Linked DNA regions of Diceros bicornis minor. The protein of the gene in region 2 purifies or fractionates together with the protein of the main gene of each other region. This does not show direct contact. Links are inferred from orthologs where the notes say so. Each region holds a gene or a part of one and is shown on either strand. Other genes may lie near its edges.

Evidence for each region.
Region 1: the proteins of EIF3L (region 2) and ZNF746 purify together in Homo sapiens (affinity purification with mass spectrometry; 3 studies listed by BioGRID and IntAct, counting the BioPlex papers as one, with this or other methods). This does not show direct contact. The link is inferred for Diceros bicornis minor from reciprocal best matches to the Homo sapiens genes EIF3L and ZNF746.

What each region holds. Positions count from the first base shown.
Region 1 is NC_080742.1:95,598,730-95,606,437, reverse strand, and holds the start of ZNF746 (zinc finger protein 746), read left to right. Parts: upstream 1-4,672; 5' UTR 4,673-4,872; coding exon 4,873-4,896; intron 4,897-4,990; exon of another isoform or gene 4,991-6,128; coding exon of another isoform or gene 6,129-6,131; intron 6,132-7,708.
Region 2 is NC_080764.1:11,926,120-11,933,114, forward strand, and holds the start of EIF3L (eukaryotic translation initiation factor 3 subunit L), read right to left. Parts: upstream 3,015-6,995; 5' UTR 2,945-3,014; coding exon 2,912-2,944; intron 2,375-2,911; coding exon 2,326-2,374; intron 1,185-2,325; coding exon 974-1,184; intron 1-973. UniProt on the Homo sapiens protein: Component of the eukaryotic translation initiation factor 3 (eIF-3) complex, which is required for several steps in the initiation of protein synthesis.

The sequences.
Region 1 (7,708 bases), on a different chromosome or scaffold from region 2:
GGTTTGTTTCACACTCATGCTACATGCTCGTCAGGGGTTGGCTGGGACCCCTATTTAACGTCTCCTCCCTCCAGAATGCAGGCTAATTCTCAAATATTGCTGGTCACCAAAGTAGAGGGAATGAAACCTTTGGAGGTCCCCAAGCTGTAATTAAATGCTTAGCTCAGAAATGGCAACTCATTGGCCAGAATTTGTCTCATGGCCCAACCCAACCAGCCATGTCCCTCAGGGGAAGCCAACTGGAAATATTCGGTGAACCGCAGTAATGACTACCACAACCTTTGTGAAAGTCCTAGGACTGAATCTTTAGGCTGTGTGCCTGTTCCCAAGGAAAACCTCAGACCTAAGGGAGCAGCTGGAAAAATCAAGGTCTATGCACACTGCTGTACCTGTCTAAGCATAGGAAGTACCTGCAGGGGCTCCTGGGTCAGCAGGAACAGTCTGAACCACGTGCTTCAGGCCTCTCTGATCCCCTGGGCTCACATGTCTCATGTTCACCAGCCTCCCCAGGCTCCTTCTGGGTGAGCTGCAGACGCTCAACGACCACCCCACCTTGGATTTTTCTAGGAGGGTGAAAGAGGTGAGGGTGGCAGTGGTAATAGACCAGAGGGAAGTGACGAATTCTTGGGACCATAGTTCATCACACTACATAGAATAATCGGTTAAGATTTGTACTATCTGTAAACCTATCAGGCCCTGTAGGGTATCAGGCCTGTAGGGGAGACAAGAGGACTAAGATAGAGCCCCTGCTCTCAGGAAACTTATGATCTATGAGGTGAGTTAGGACACTACTACCTTGTGTTATGATTTTTCCCTGAGTGCCAAATGAATGGTACCAATATTAAAAGTTATGAGCTTGGCCAAGGCAGAATTCACGGCAGGGTTGATTGGGCTACAAAGGCTTGGTGGAAGAATTAGGGCATGAGCTGGTCTGGGAAAGATGTGGGGCTTTAGGTGGGTTAGAGGAGGGGACAGAACATGAAGAAAGGCACAGAAGTGGAGATTCTCATGCCAGCTTACAGCACATATCTGGACAGACTGAGCCAAAAAATTGGAAATGGAGGGAAAGGCTATGGGAGGTCTCGAATACCAATCCAAGTGGGGTTTGTTTTTGTTCTTTTTGCAAACAGAGTCTGGAGAGCTACCTACCAGGGATGCTTGTCTTAGGTGGAAGTTTGGGCAAATCATAATTGCCCAAACTTGACTGTGCATCAGAGCCCCACCCCCATCCCTACCCTCAATCCCTATTAGGAGCTTGTTAAAAACAGACTTCTTTTAAAAAAGTTTTCCCCACAGTCCTCAGGGCCCATCCCTAGAGATTTTGATTCAGTAGATCTGGGATGGGATCCAGAAAACTATATCTTTCACAAGCTTCCGCAGAGACTCTGATGGAGCTGGTCTGAGAATCTGCCGGGATAGGTAATTTCTACCTAGAAATGGCCCTGGCATATACCAAAAGTTGAATTTTTTTCAATCACGTTTCCTGAAAACTAGCTCCTATTTCTGATCACTCTATTTCTGTTGCAGATGCACGCTGTTTCCATTCAGACTCAGGACCTCTCCTGGAATCCGTTTTCACATACGCTGCACATGCGGTTGGTTGCTGCCTCTTACTGCATATCCTTTCAGCTCTCTCCGTTCTGTTCCTTCCTTTCTGTCCCCCTCCTGCTACACTTGGTCGGACCTTTCCTCACCTCATGCTGGGACTCTGGCAGTAGCCTCCTGACTGATCTCTTATCCCTCTCCATCCCTCCCACACATGGCCCTCAGATAAGTCTCCCTATCGGCACCATGACTGGCTTACACACACACACACTTTCTTCCCAGTGGTGTGCAAGGCAGTTTACCAGTCTTGGGGAACACAAAGATGAGCAAGTCACGGCCCTTGCCCAGAGGAGTACCCAGCGCAAACAGCCAGAGTAGGCGATAAGGGCTTGTATTGGAAGAGGCTCACGAAATTTAAAGGTTTCTCATGTCCACCACTCCCTTTGGAGGAAAGTAATCCACACAGTTCTCTCCACAAAAAGTTGCTGATGGTTTGTGCCAAGTGCACAGAGGCACCTAACAGTGCTATTCTGGCCTCCAACCACCTCTGGCAGCCTTGGCTTCCAACTCTGCTCAAAAGGGGCACTGCCTGTTGGATGTAAGAACCGACCCAAACAGCTCCTCTCTCCTGGGAAGAATTCATTCGAGGGACACGCAGATGGTCACATAAGCCCAGGGTGTGCGCTGCTCACATCCTCCATGAGGCATGAAATACATCCCATCATGGAAGCACTAGGACCCCAAGGAGCCATATCACCATGGAGACAACACCTCTGCTTCCTTGAACAGGAAGAAGCCCCCTTCTCCAGGGTAACCCAGGAGCTGGCCCACACAAGGAGTCATGAGAAGATAAGCGAGTTGTCATGCAGAGTCACCACCAAACAGGCCACAATGAGAGTGGAGCAGTGGTCTTCAGTTGGGTCCAGTGTCAAAGCAAACTGGTGGTGAAAGGAAGGTAAGACCCAGGAAATTTACAGGATAGCCTAGGCCAACTTCCTCATTGTACATATGAGTAAGGAGAGCCCTGAGAGGCTGGCTGACTTGCCCAAGGACCTCAACCAGTTAGTGGTAGAACTTTCAGGACTCCGACCCCCGGTTCCTCCCACAATACTCCCAGTGTATATGTGCCAACCTACACAAGGCCTAAATATGTTCTGATGGCTTTTTTTTTTAATCAAAGACTTTACCATTAAGCTAATGAAGCTTAAGCTTCAGAGTGCCTCCCTTGCACCAACTCTGTACCTACTTTTAAATTTTTAATTTTGTGAAGTATTTTTCTTAATAATATTCCCCAAATTATAGAAGGTTTAGGTCCACAAAACAGAGATCCACCCTGGCAGAGGAGATGTGTTATTTGGGAAAGGAAGGATTCATGTAGGAGAAGAGCTAGAGGGAAAAAACAGGAAAAGGACCTCGGGGCAGATTCCGGAACATTCTGCTGTAGTGAGTGGGCCGATGTTACTCTCTCAGGGATTTACTCCAAAAGGCAAAAGGATGCCAGGGGCTCCAAGCTGGAAATCCCTACCCCCTCCCATTTTAGGGACAATCCCTGAGAGCTGGTGGGCACCAGAAATGAGGTGAAGAAAGAAATGAGGAAAAGAAAATGAGGTGAAGGGAACAGACCTCTCCAACCAGTTTGAGTAAAGTCTCCCCTCTTCCACTCCTGGGGAGATTCCACTTTATACACAAAGAAGAATGCATCCAGGACGACCCCTGGTTGAACGTTCAGCCCAGGCTGACAGAGAAAACAAAGGGCACCTCAGGACCCCGGCTGCTAGACCCCAAGCCCAGGAGTCTGGGGCACCGGGGACGTAGGTTCCTCCTCTTTGGAAAAGAGTCCCACCTAGCAGAGGAAATTCTGGAAGGAAATGCATCTTTGTGACCACATGGGGGCCTCCTTCCCTCCGCCAGCTCCAGTTCGCCTCTTAAGGAGTTTTTTCAATTTATTTATTGATTTTTTTCTCTCTTTCTCATTTAAAAATACTATTCTTGTTATTATACAGTATTATTATTGTTATTACAAAATTTAAAAATTTGTAAAAAGTTAGAAAATGTGGAAAGATGGCCCGTGGTCTCACCGTTAAAGAAAACTACTTAAGACTATATGCTTCCAAACTTGTCTTTATATATATAGATTCATCTTAAAAATAAAAATGGGATCTGGACAGGCTTCTCTTAAAATATCATGAACGTCTTCCGCTACCGGTTCTTCACAAAATAATTTTAAATGATGGTATTGTGTTCCATCGTTCATTCCACTAAAATATGCTTTATAAGTAATGAACACGTCATAGAAAGTTCTAAGTGGCTGCCCACCAGCATTTACCGAACTATATTCCTATTGTTAGAAGAATTTTTTCCATTTCAAACCAAAGGTAGACGTGAGCTACAGCTGTTCAAAGAAGTACTCAACACATACGAAGCGCATATCGCCTGGCAGGCCCTGAAGCAGCAGAGGCGACGTGGCGGTGCCCTCGGGGAGAAGGCGCAGGTCTCCTGGGGCTCGCAGGGGGAGCGGCTGCCGTCGCCGCGGTCACTTGGGGGGGCCGGTCGGTCCCTGGAGCGGGGAGATTCTTTTTGGTAACCGAGTCCCTCCGGCCGCGGGGGGGTCCAAAGCCGGAGGCGCTCGCGAGGCGCGGCCCGAGGCAGGTCGGGCACCGGGTCCGGGCGGTGACTCAGCGCGCGCCCGGCCGTGGGCCGGTGGGCTGTTGGGTCGGGGGTCGGGGGATCGGGGGTCAGGGGGTCGCGGTCAGGTGGGTCGGGGTGTTGGGGTTAGGTGGGCCACGGTTCGGGGGGTCGGGGGATCAGGTGGGCCAGGGGTCAGGGGGTCTGGGGGTCGGGGTCAGGTGGACAGGTGTCCCGGGGGGTCGGGGGTTCGCGGTCAGGGGGTCTTGAGCAGGTGAGCAGGTGGGCCGGGGGATCAGGGGGTCGGGGGTCGGGGGGTAGGGGTCAGGGGGTCTTGAGAAGGTGAGCAGGTGGGCCGGTGGGCCGGTGGGTCCGGCGGCGGGGCGGGGCGGGGCGGGCGCGGCGCCTGCCGTTCGCCTCTCCGGGCTGCAGGTGGGGCTGTGCGGCCGCGCTGCCTCCAGGAAGCCTCACGGGCCTGCGCCGGCTCCCAGGATGCAGTGTGGACCGGCCGGGCGCTGACGGCGGCGGCGCGTCTGCGGGCGGAGCGGCGCGGGCCGGCCAGCGAGGAGCGCGGCGCCGCGGGCGGGGAAGGCAGGGCCGGGCGGGCGCGCCTGCGGAGAGGCCGGGGGCCGGCCTGCGTGGGGCCGTGCGGCGGCGGCGGCGGCGGCGACTTCCTCCGGCCGGGCCGGACAGCGCAGGGCCATGGCCGAGGCGGCCGCGGCTCCGGTAAGGCGGCCCGCGCACGGACGCGCGGACTCGGGCCCGGGGCCAGCGCACGGCGCCGCAGGCCCTGAGGAGGGGCTCCGGGGCCGGGCCGGGCCGCCGGGCCTGGGGCTCCGGCGAGCGGGGCGCGGGGTCCGCCGGGGCCTACGGCGCCCGCCCGCCGGCCCGGCCCCCCGTTCCGGGCCGAGCCTGAGCGGGGCGGAACCGGCCGTCCCCGCGCCGGAGGCCGCCCCACGCCGAGTTCCTGCAGCCCTCCGCGGCTTCCTGCCCCCGCCCCATCCGCCGGCCCCTTAGTCCCCGCGCCCCCCACCCCGCGGCTCCTTTCTCTGCCCACCGCTCTGCCCTGCGTCCCCTACCCCCCAGCTCCCCCCAGCGGCCTGCTGGCACCTGGGAGGTGTCCTGAGCGGCTTCGATTCCGCCGACACCGAGTACCCGGGGTGCCCAGCTCGCTCAGCTGCTCCCGTTCGTAGAAGCGGGCACGGCGCCGGCCCCGTTAGGCATTATTTTGTCCTCACAACAAACCTGTGGGGTAGGTACTCCTTCTCTGTCGTACAAAAGAAAGCCTGAGGCCTAGAGAAGTTCACTTGCCCGGATCGCAGAGCTAGAGAGTCTGTGAAGAGAGAGGCGCGCTGTGTTCAGGGCACATTGTGTTGAGGGGAGCAGACAGGTACCCTGGAAATAATAACGCAAAACAGAAAGAGGTGAGGGCTTCTTGCCTGGAGGAGGAAACAGGCTGTGGAGTGCGGGGCAGGGAGGGAAGGGGCCGGCCTGCGCTGCCGCGCGCCCTTCCTGCCCCGTGCTCCTGTGGTTTGAGCTGCGCTTTTAGGGAAGGCTAGGATTTCTTCAGGCTGAGCTGGACCCGTGGAGCTTTTCAGGTAGGGAGGACGGCTTGGGCACAGAGAGACAGGCAGTGTGGGGCATGTTCAAGGGTAGGAAAGGAGTTGTACGCCTGGAAAAGATGGTTTTGGTAGGGGCCAGTGAGAGAGGAGGCTGCAGGGAGACCTGGAAGGGGTTTCAGTGCCTGGACTTCATCCTAAGGGTGGGGAGCCCTTGAAGGATTTGGAGTTCTCTCGCCATCAGCTCCCGTTAGAGTTCCCGCTTTCCTGGCTGGGGTCTGAGGACAGCCCCATATTGTCTACCCAGCATCTAGTAAGGAGCTGGGCTGGAGCAGAAACAGTTGTCACCTCCCACCAACTGGTGTGAAGGCCTCACGTGGGACTCCCTGCCCTGTTAAAATGGTAAGAAAACTGCACATGCCTTGTTTATAAGGGAGGAGTTTATGCAGATGCCCTTGTCCTGCAACGCAAAGACTGTAGTCAACACAGCCGGCTGCAGTTGGAGGGGGAGCTGGGCATGAAGTGCAAGGACACCTCTGGAGCAAACCCATGGAGGCTGGGGTCGTATAGCAGGGATTGATCAGAGAGGAGGAGAGAGGGAAAGGGAAGGAACGGTGGCTGTTGTGGAGGGCAACCTCACACACCCAGTGCTGAGCCACCCAAGGTGCCCGCCCAGTGCAGTCCCTGCAGCCTTGGGGCAGGACCACCTACCTCTGGAGAGCAAGAGTCCCCCCCATCCACTTGTGCCCTCAAACGGGTCTCTGCCCATCCAGCTCCTCCCCATCCTCTGAAACCCAGCTAAGCCCTTGCTTCTTCAGGTCAGAGGTCATCTGGTCCAGCCTCCCTCCAAACAATCACAGAATTGCTGATGCTCCATCCTTGACAGTTTTTTTTGGCCTCTGCTCAAACTCTCCTTCTGGCGCTATTTTCTGACGTGTCCACTCATGTTCTGGTTCTCTGTGGCTTTCTCTAAATGAATCCACACTGGTTCCTACTAGTCACTTCTCTATTTTGCAAATAAGTCGCCAACCTTTTGTTTAGGAATAATTTCTAGCATGTTGTAAGGAACCATCAATCCTCAGGCACTGCCAGAAGAAGGCACAAATGGCAAGACCTCCTCTTGGACCCCTGGGTCCACCCTTCAGCTGTGGGTGAAGTGGGTCCAGCCCCCACCCAAAGCAGAAAGTGCCCTTTCCTCAGTGTCCCCAGCTGCCCCAATACAAGCTACTGTGTGAACTTTGCGGCGACAGGGAAGTCACGGCGTGGGGAAGCTCCGTGTCTTTATGATGGTTGTCACACATTTAAAAGCCTTGCCCTATGGCACATGTCTTACCTTCCTCACCAGTCTGCAAGGTGTGTCACTGATCCGGGGCAGCTACAAAGATGTCTGAGACCTACTTCTCCCCTTGGGAGGGGTGGGAACAGTGAGAGAAAAATTCAGAATCTCGGGGGGCTCAGGGGACTAGTGTTGTATCAAAAAGTCTCTTGGTTGGTGGGGATTTGCAGTAATGGTGGTTTTTAGTTTGGGCGTAGGCAGTTGGAGAGGGGACAAATCAGATTGTCCTGAGGGAGAGGAATTACCCATTAAGTTTTTATGTTTATCAAAAAGAGACACGAGATGCTTTAAAAAAAAAAAAAAGAAATTGAGCAACGCTCTTGTTTGTGCCGTTTCAGTGAACCAGCTGTTTTTTTTGCTAGGTCATCATCAGTAGACAGTTCCTGTGCGATTATGATGGGAGGTGCCGGCTGGGCTCTAGTCAATCTGCAGTTTACTGTTTCTCCACTAAAACGCCCCAGCAGTGCTCAGTCACTGTTTGTTTAGCAGAATTGCACCGAGTGCCTACCATGGGCCCTGCACTGTGCTGTGAAAAGACGCAGTGCTGCCTTCGGAGAGCTGGTCAAGGCTGTGGGGGGTTACTGTGTAGGGCGGTCAGTGCCATGCTTGGAGTCTGCACGGTGTGCTGCAGAGGCCTAGAGGG
Region 2 (6,995 bases):
TATAGTAGGCCCCCCTTATCCGCAGGGGGATATGTTCCAAGACCCCCAGTGGATGCCTGAAACTGTAGACAGTACCAACTCTATGTATATTACTTTTTTTCCTATACATACATACCTATGATAAAGTTTGATTTATAAATTAGGCACAGTAAGAGACTAACGACAACAATAATAAAATAGAACAACTATAATAATATACTGTAATAAAAGTTACTGCAGATTTTAGCAACTTCAGTATACGTGCTCTTTCTTAAGTCAAGAAACTTTCACGTTTTCACTTAAAGGAAGCCCTTTACGGCTTCTTTGGCATATCTGAATTGTCAGCATCACTACTCTTGCACTTTGGGGCCATTATTAAGTAAAACAAAGGTTACTTGAATACAAGTATTATAATACTGTGACAGTGGATCTGACAACTGAGGAAGCTACTCAGTAATTAACAGGCGGGTAGCATATACAATATGGATATGCTGGACAAAGGGACGATTCATGTCGCAGGAGGGACAGCATATTTCATCAAGCTCCTCAGAATGGCCCGCAATTTAAAACTTATGAAGCGTTTATTTCTGGAATTTTTCCATTTAATATTCTCGGACCGCGATTGACTGTGGGTAACTGAAACCACAAAAAAATGAAACCGTGGATGAGGGTGAACTACTGTACCTACTTCTTGGGGTTACTGTGAAAGGTAAATAAGTAAATACAGGAAAAGCATGCTGAACACTGCCTGATATATACCGATTATACACACTAATTGCTATTATAATGATTGACACTGACATTATTTTAGGCCTTGTACAAGTTATGGGGATACACAGACCAACAAAATAACATGTCCCTAGCCCCAAGGAATCACAGAAACCCCTTGGACACTCTCTTTACAGAAAAATGATTAACCATCACCCCTTTTTAGGGGCAGCATCACCAAGCCAGTCCCACTCAGAAAGAGGTCATTTCAGCCAGCAGCCAGTACCTGTTTTCATAGATGTCCTGGATCTCATACACTTTCTGGTCAATGACATCACTGGAGACACGGCTGGCCTGCAGCTCATACACCTTCTGGTCAATCAAATCCGAGACGGTCTTGTGGAAATACTGGATGAAGTTTTTGATCACTTCGGGGATCACCTGGTAGGTTTGCTGTTCATACTGCCGTTCGTAGGCTAAATCCTGCTTTGGATCTCCTAGAGGTTGGATATAATCAACACTTTACAAAAGTGCTTTCAAACCCATATATATGACATAACAAAAGGACAATCCCATCCCCCAAACCAAACTCTATAAAATCGATATAATTCCCTTTTAAACACTCAAGGGATACAATCCTCCTAGGTCACTCTCAATCCCATCACTTTGTTTCTTCAGAACATTAACCACTACTTAGTTATTTATTTACTTATTATCTGTTTCCCCACTAGAATCTAAAGTCTATGAGGGCAAGAAGCTTGTCTGTCTTGTACCCAGGGGCACCCTCAGAACCTAGAACAATTAACACGTGTGTTGGAGGAGAGAGGAAGACTGTAGTAAGGGGGGGTTAGTAGGTACTTAATATTTTTTGAATGAATGAATGATTGCCGTTTTCTACCTCTATGGCACGATGCAAGTTACTAAACTTCTCTGTGCTCAGTTTTCTCATCTCTAAAACGGACACCACACTAATTTACGTACTTTATAAAACTTTTGTAAGGACTAAATTAAATACTTCACGCAAAGTACCGGGACAATGCATGGCACTTACTAAGTGCTAAGTCAAGCCAACTCACTAGGACATTTCAGGAAACGTCAAAAACCTTCCATCTGGGGCCGGCCCCGTGGCTTAGCGGTTAAGTGCGCGAGCTCCGCTGCTGGCGGCCCGGGTTCGGATCCCGGGCGCGCACCGTCGCACCACTTGTCTGGCCATGCTGAGGCCGCGTCCCACATACAGCAACTAGAAGGATGTGCAGCTATGACATACAACTATCTACTGGGGCTTTGGGGGAAAAATAAACAAAATTATTTTAAAAAAAAAAAACCTTCCATTTGGACTTGGTTTGAATCATTAATTTTTCACAACAAGATTTTCTTCTTCGGCTAATAGTTTAAACAAAGAAACCACAGCCAGGATAGCGATTCCTCCCTTCTGAGACTTGGAAGTGGACCATGAAAAAGGCCTGGTTTATGAGGTTCTATACCACCCTCCTGCTGAAAGCTAATAACTGACGCCAAAGCTGGACCATCAAGAAGCAGTTTTAAACAGCCGTGCGTTAGAGCTGTTGCAAAACGTTAATAAAGGTGCCAAACCCTAAGTTGCCGTACCTAGCTAGCCAGACCAACCTGTAGTCTCACCTGTATGCATATCATAGTCGCCCGGGTAAGCATACGGATCATAAGCAGCCTGTCAACGAAAAGAGACAAAAACAAGAACAGTCACCAATTCGTGAATCCAAAATGCTCGTTCTAGGGCCTACGTGCCACGCAGGATACTAAGGATACAAAAGTGGATGAGACACAGTCCCTGCCTTTGAGGACCTCGCATGGGAGCAAAGCGAAAACAATGACAACACAACGTTAGGAGCGCAATAAGGCAAAGCACGACAGACCGTGGGAACCAGCGGGATTCAAGACCGAGCGCAGACCATGAGAAGAGCTCAGTTACAGAAACACAGAACCCCATAACCAGCCTCCGTGCCCGGTCTTGGGAAAGGAGAGGACGAAGGGACCGGCCCTGCGAAGTGGGCGGGTAGAGACAGGGCTGACGAGGAGCCAGGAGCTGTGGCAGCAGCATAGGGGCCGCGCAGGCAGGGAGGCGGGCCGGAGCCGGTCGGCCCGCGGGGCTCCCGGAGACGCCCGGACACCGCCTGCCCGCGGGGCCCAGCATCCAGAGAGCCCTGCCCCCGTCGCGGAGCCCAGCACACTCTTAGGGTCGGGTTACCTCGGACTCGTAATCATCAGCAGGGTAAGACATGGCTGCGGCGCTCACGAACACCGCGGGAGAGAGCGAAAAGACCGTCCCGCCCCGCGCGGCGAGGCCGGAAGTTCAGGCCCGCTCGGGCCTGCCGGGAAACCGGAAGCCCTTCCGGGCCGCCGGCGAGCTGAGACAGCCACGTTAGGAAGGGCGGAAAAGACAAACACCTAAATTTTCCTTCCTTCTTCAAACAGAGAATTTACAAGGATCGTGGCCCTATAGTACTTGCGTAAAGTCGGAAATAAGGACATGACATGGTTCGCCGTAATAGAGGATGGGCAAAGTAAGAGAAGCCAGAAGTCATGCCACACAAAAGATGGCTGACAACTTCCTCGGCCGACTTCTCGCGTGAAGGGAAATTCGGACGTGGGGGCCTGATATTGGATTTAGGTGTAAGCGGTTTGCCTGCGGCGAGAAATGTCTTCAAACTTTCTGCTCTCAAAAGACTATACTTCCTGGGTGTAAAAGTTGAGACTTGGTCCCGTGCAGTGAGAGGGCATTGAGAAAAGGCGCTTCCGACTTTGGACTTGAAGGTTGGAGCAGGCAAAGATGAGGCCAGCTGTGGTGTGAGGCCCTGCGACCCACGGGTAAAGCACGGAGCGCTCAGGCTGTGGGTCGTGTTGCGAATCCGGCGGTAGCGTGGGTTCGAGTCCTGGGAAGTCCTGGAGTTAGGGACAGGGTTATAAAACAAACCAACAGAAACTGGTATGTGAGTCAAGGGCCTTCGTTTAGCCATCTGCCCATCCACAACACCCAGTGGAAATCTGGATTCTAGTCACAGCCACTGATTTGCTGTGTGACCAGGCTGTGTCTCTCCCTCTGTAGGCCTCATCGCCCGCATCCTCTTGTCACACAGCCTTCCCAGCTTTCCGAAGCGAGGCACGCTCCGCCTCACCTGGTCTAGATTGTAGAATGCAGACCTCCCAGATGTCCGCAAGGCTGGCTCCGTCACCTCCTTCAGCTGTTTACTCTGATGCCAGCGACTCAGAGCATCCTACATGTTTCGAGTTGCAACTTCCCGCCCCAGCTCCCTGTGCCGCGTTTTACTTTGCCTTCATTCTTTGCACTATCACCAAGAGGTGAGACCGTCATGGAACTAAAGCTTAAACTTTAGGGCCTCTCGATTCCCCGGGGTTCTTCCATGGCTCAAGGAGGGCCCCCAGCTACGTGCTTGCATGGTCTTATGTTTTTGTAAACTTTGCAAAAGTAATATTTTTACTGCAGTCGCTTAAAACCACTTTCTACTCCGATTTCCCCGGTCATACTGCCCCTTGTGTTTAATGGCGTTTGGGATCCAGCTAGAGGAAATCCAGTTGGGAACATTTGAGTTTAGTAGAATATGTTTATGTGATACTGTTCCACGTATAGTTGTTATCACTGGCCTTCCTAGTGTAAGCTGTACCTGCCATCCCCTGTGATCAGTGAGTGTCCTCAATGAAAGGAGTATTTAAGGTTAATCAGGGTACTAGAAAGCTTGAAATTTTATAGTTATATAGGACAAAAATTTCATACAGGTTGTCCCCAACTTTGACAACAATTCTCAAAATATTCATGACATTACTAAAAAGGAATTGTAAAACTGGAAGAAGTTTTTCTAAATTATTAATAAAAAATTTTGATGGAACATGCTAGAGGATAGACTAAATTATCTTTCCATTCTCATTATGATACGAAATTGTGGTCATATAAAGAGGCGACCAAAGCATAGTCAGCCTGCCAACACAAATAATCCATAATCAATCTATAAATCAAAATTGGGGTGAGTTTATTATGAGCCGGGTTTGAGGACTGTAGCCCAGGGCCTGCCTTCCCCAAGCATGGAAGGACACAAAAGTGGGGTGAACAGAGTGGTTATATACCGTCTTGGAACAAAGAGCATACATCACATATGATAGGAACGTCCCTTTTACAATAGTCACAAGATTGCTTTGCTGGCACAGCAGGTCAGTGGTCACAAGGTGAGCACAGCAGGTCGGTAATTCTTGTTTCTAGGAAGAGATGCTTATCCTTAAGGAAATGATATGGGGGAAGATACATCCCTATCTTTAAGGGCATCATTCTTGTCTTTGGGACATTGTAAATGATTAAAGTAGATGTACAATGCATGCTCAAGAGGCCATGACAGGCCCTTTTGGAAAAACAAGGTCAGGCCGAATTAGTTTTTTTTTTTTTTTTAAAGATTTTATTTGTTTATTTTTTCCCCCCAAAGCCCCAGTAGATAGTTGTATGTCATAGCTGCACATCCTTCTAGTTGCTGTATGTGGGACACGGCCTCAGCATGGCCGGAGAAGCGGTGCGTCGGTGCGCGCCTGGGATCCGAACCCGGGCCGCCAGCAGCGGAGCGCGCGCACTCAACCGCTAAGCCACGGGGCCGGCCCCCGAATTAGTTTTAAACCAAATGGTTTCCTCATACACTCCAATATATCCTGTTGCTTTTCATGCTTTTCCTGTTGCTTTTTTCAGCCTAAAATAGAAAACATCTTATGGAGGTGTTTAAGAAAATTAACAAATATGTTACTTTTCTGGATTTTGTGATGTTTGTATTATTTGTCAGCTTTTTAAAATGACAAATTGCAATTTGTGATTGCATGATTTCTCCCACAATTTGTGTTGTGATTCCTTGTTCTAAATAAATATTCTCTTTCCTACCTAGTTCTGGTTTTGTAATTTTCTGTTCTTTGTTCTTCATGTAAGCTTCAGTCACCAGAAACTTGGATTCTTTGATTACAACCATCTAATATATATTTTATTTATTTATTCATGACTTTCTACCTCTTCCAGAATGTGTGCTCTAACTTAGAGATTAGTAAAGGCTCTGAGAGAACGTTCCTCACTGGCTACTCTTTCTCACCCTCCTTTGTTGGTTTTCTTGTGTGTGTGTGAGGAAGACTGGCCCTCAGCTGATATCTATTGCCAATCTTCCTCCATTTTTTTTCCCTTTTTCTCCCCAAAGCCCCAGTAGATAGTTGTATGTCATAGTTGCACATCCTTCTAGTTGCTGTATGTTGGACGCAGCCTCAGCATGGCCAGAGAAGCAGTGCGTGGTATGCGCCTGGGCTCCAAACCTGGCCCGCCAGTAGCGGAGTGCGCGCACTTAACCACTAAGCCATGGGGCTGGCCCTCACCCTCCTTTCTTAAGTCCTCTTCCTCTCTCCAATCACTAAATAGTGGACTGCCCCTTCTCCCTGGGCTTGGTCTCCTCTATCTGCCATCACTCCCTGGGTGTCTTATCCAGTCCAGTAGGTTTAAATATCATCCATATGCTATTGACTCCCCACATTTATATCTCCAACCCAGACCGCACTCCTGAGTTGGGCTCAGTGGCCCATGTGAGTACCCGGATGTCTAATGGGCACCTCAAACTTAACATGTCCAAACTGATCTTCCGATTTTCTGCCTCAACCTTGCTCTTCTCACGGTTTTTCCCATCTTAGTTAACGGCAACTTCATTCTTTCGGTCGCTCAGGCCAAAGCCCTCAGAACCACCCCTGACTTGACTCTTCCTCACACCACACGTTCAGTGCAGCTGCACTTTGTTGGCTCTACCTTCAAAATATTCCCAGACTCTCCATTCTCACCACCTTGTCTCCATCATTCTTGTCCAAGGCACCATCATCTCATTGGTAGTGTAACGGCTTCCTCACCCTTCCTGCCTCCAATTCTCAGTCCATATTTGTAGAATTGCATTTGAATTCAAACTTAGGCCACTGCTTGGCAGCACATTAAGTCTGCTTAGAAATGCAACTTCGACCCGAAAGCAGCTGGAACCCCATTACAGACTATGAAATGTCTGAGCACTGCGTGTTTGATTTTGCAAGGCTCTCTTGTTAATGGAAGCACTACTTCAAAGGGAAGGAAACTGTGGGCAGACCAAAGCTCCTGGAATAATTTTACCTGGGAGAGTTGCTGAGACGATTTAGCAGCTGAAAAGCTGCCCTGTTTCTCTTGATCTTCCTTTGCCTGGGATTTGAGGCAGAAAATTCTCTGACCCAGAAAAGCCATTAGTTATATTTTACAGTCTGCCTGGGCTCTTCAGCTGGGTTCGTTTCAG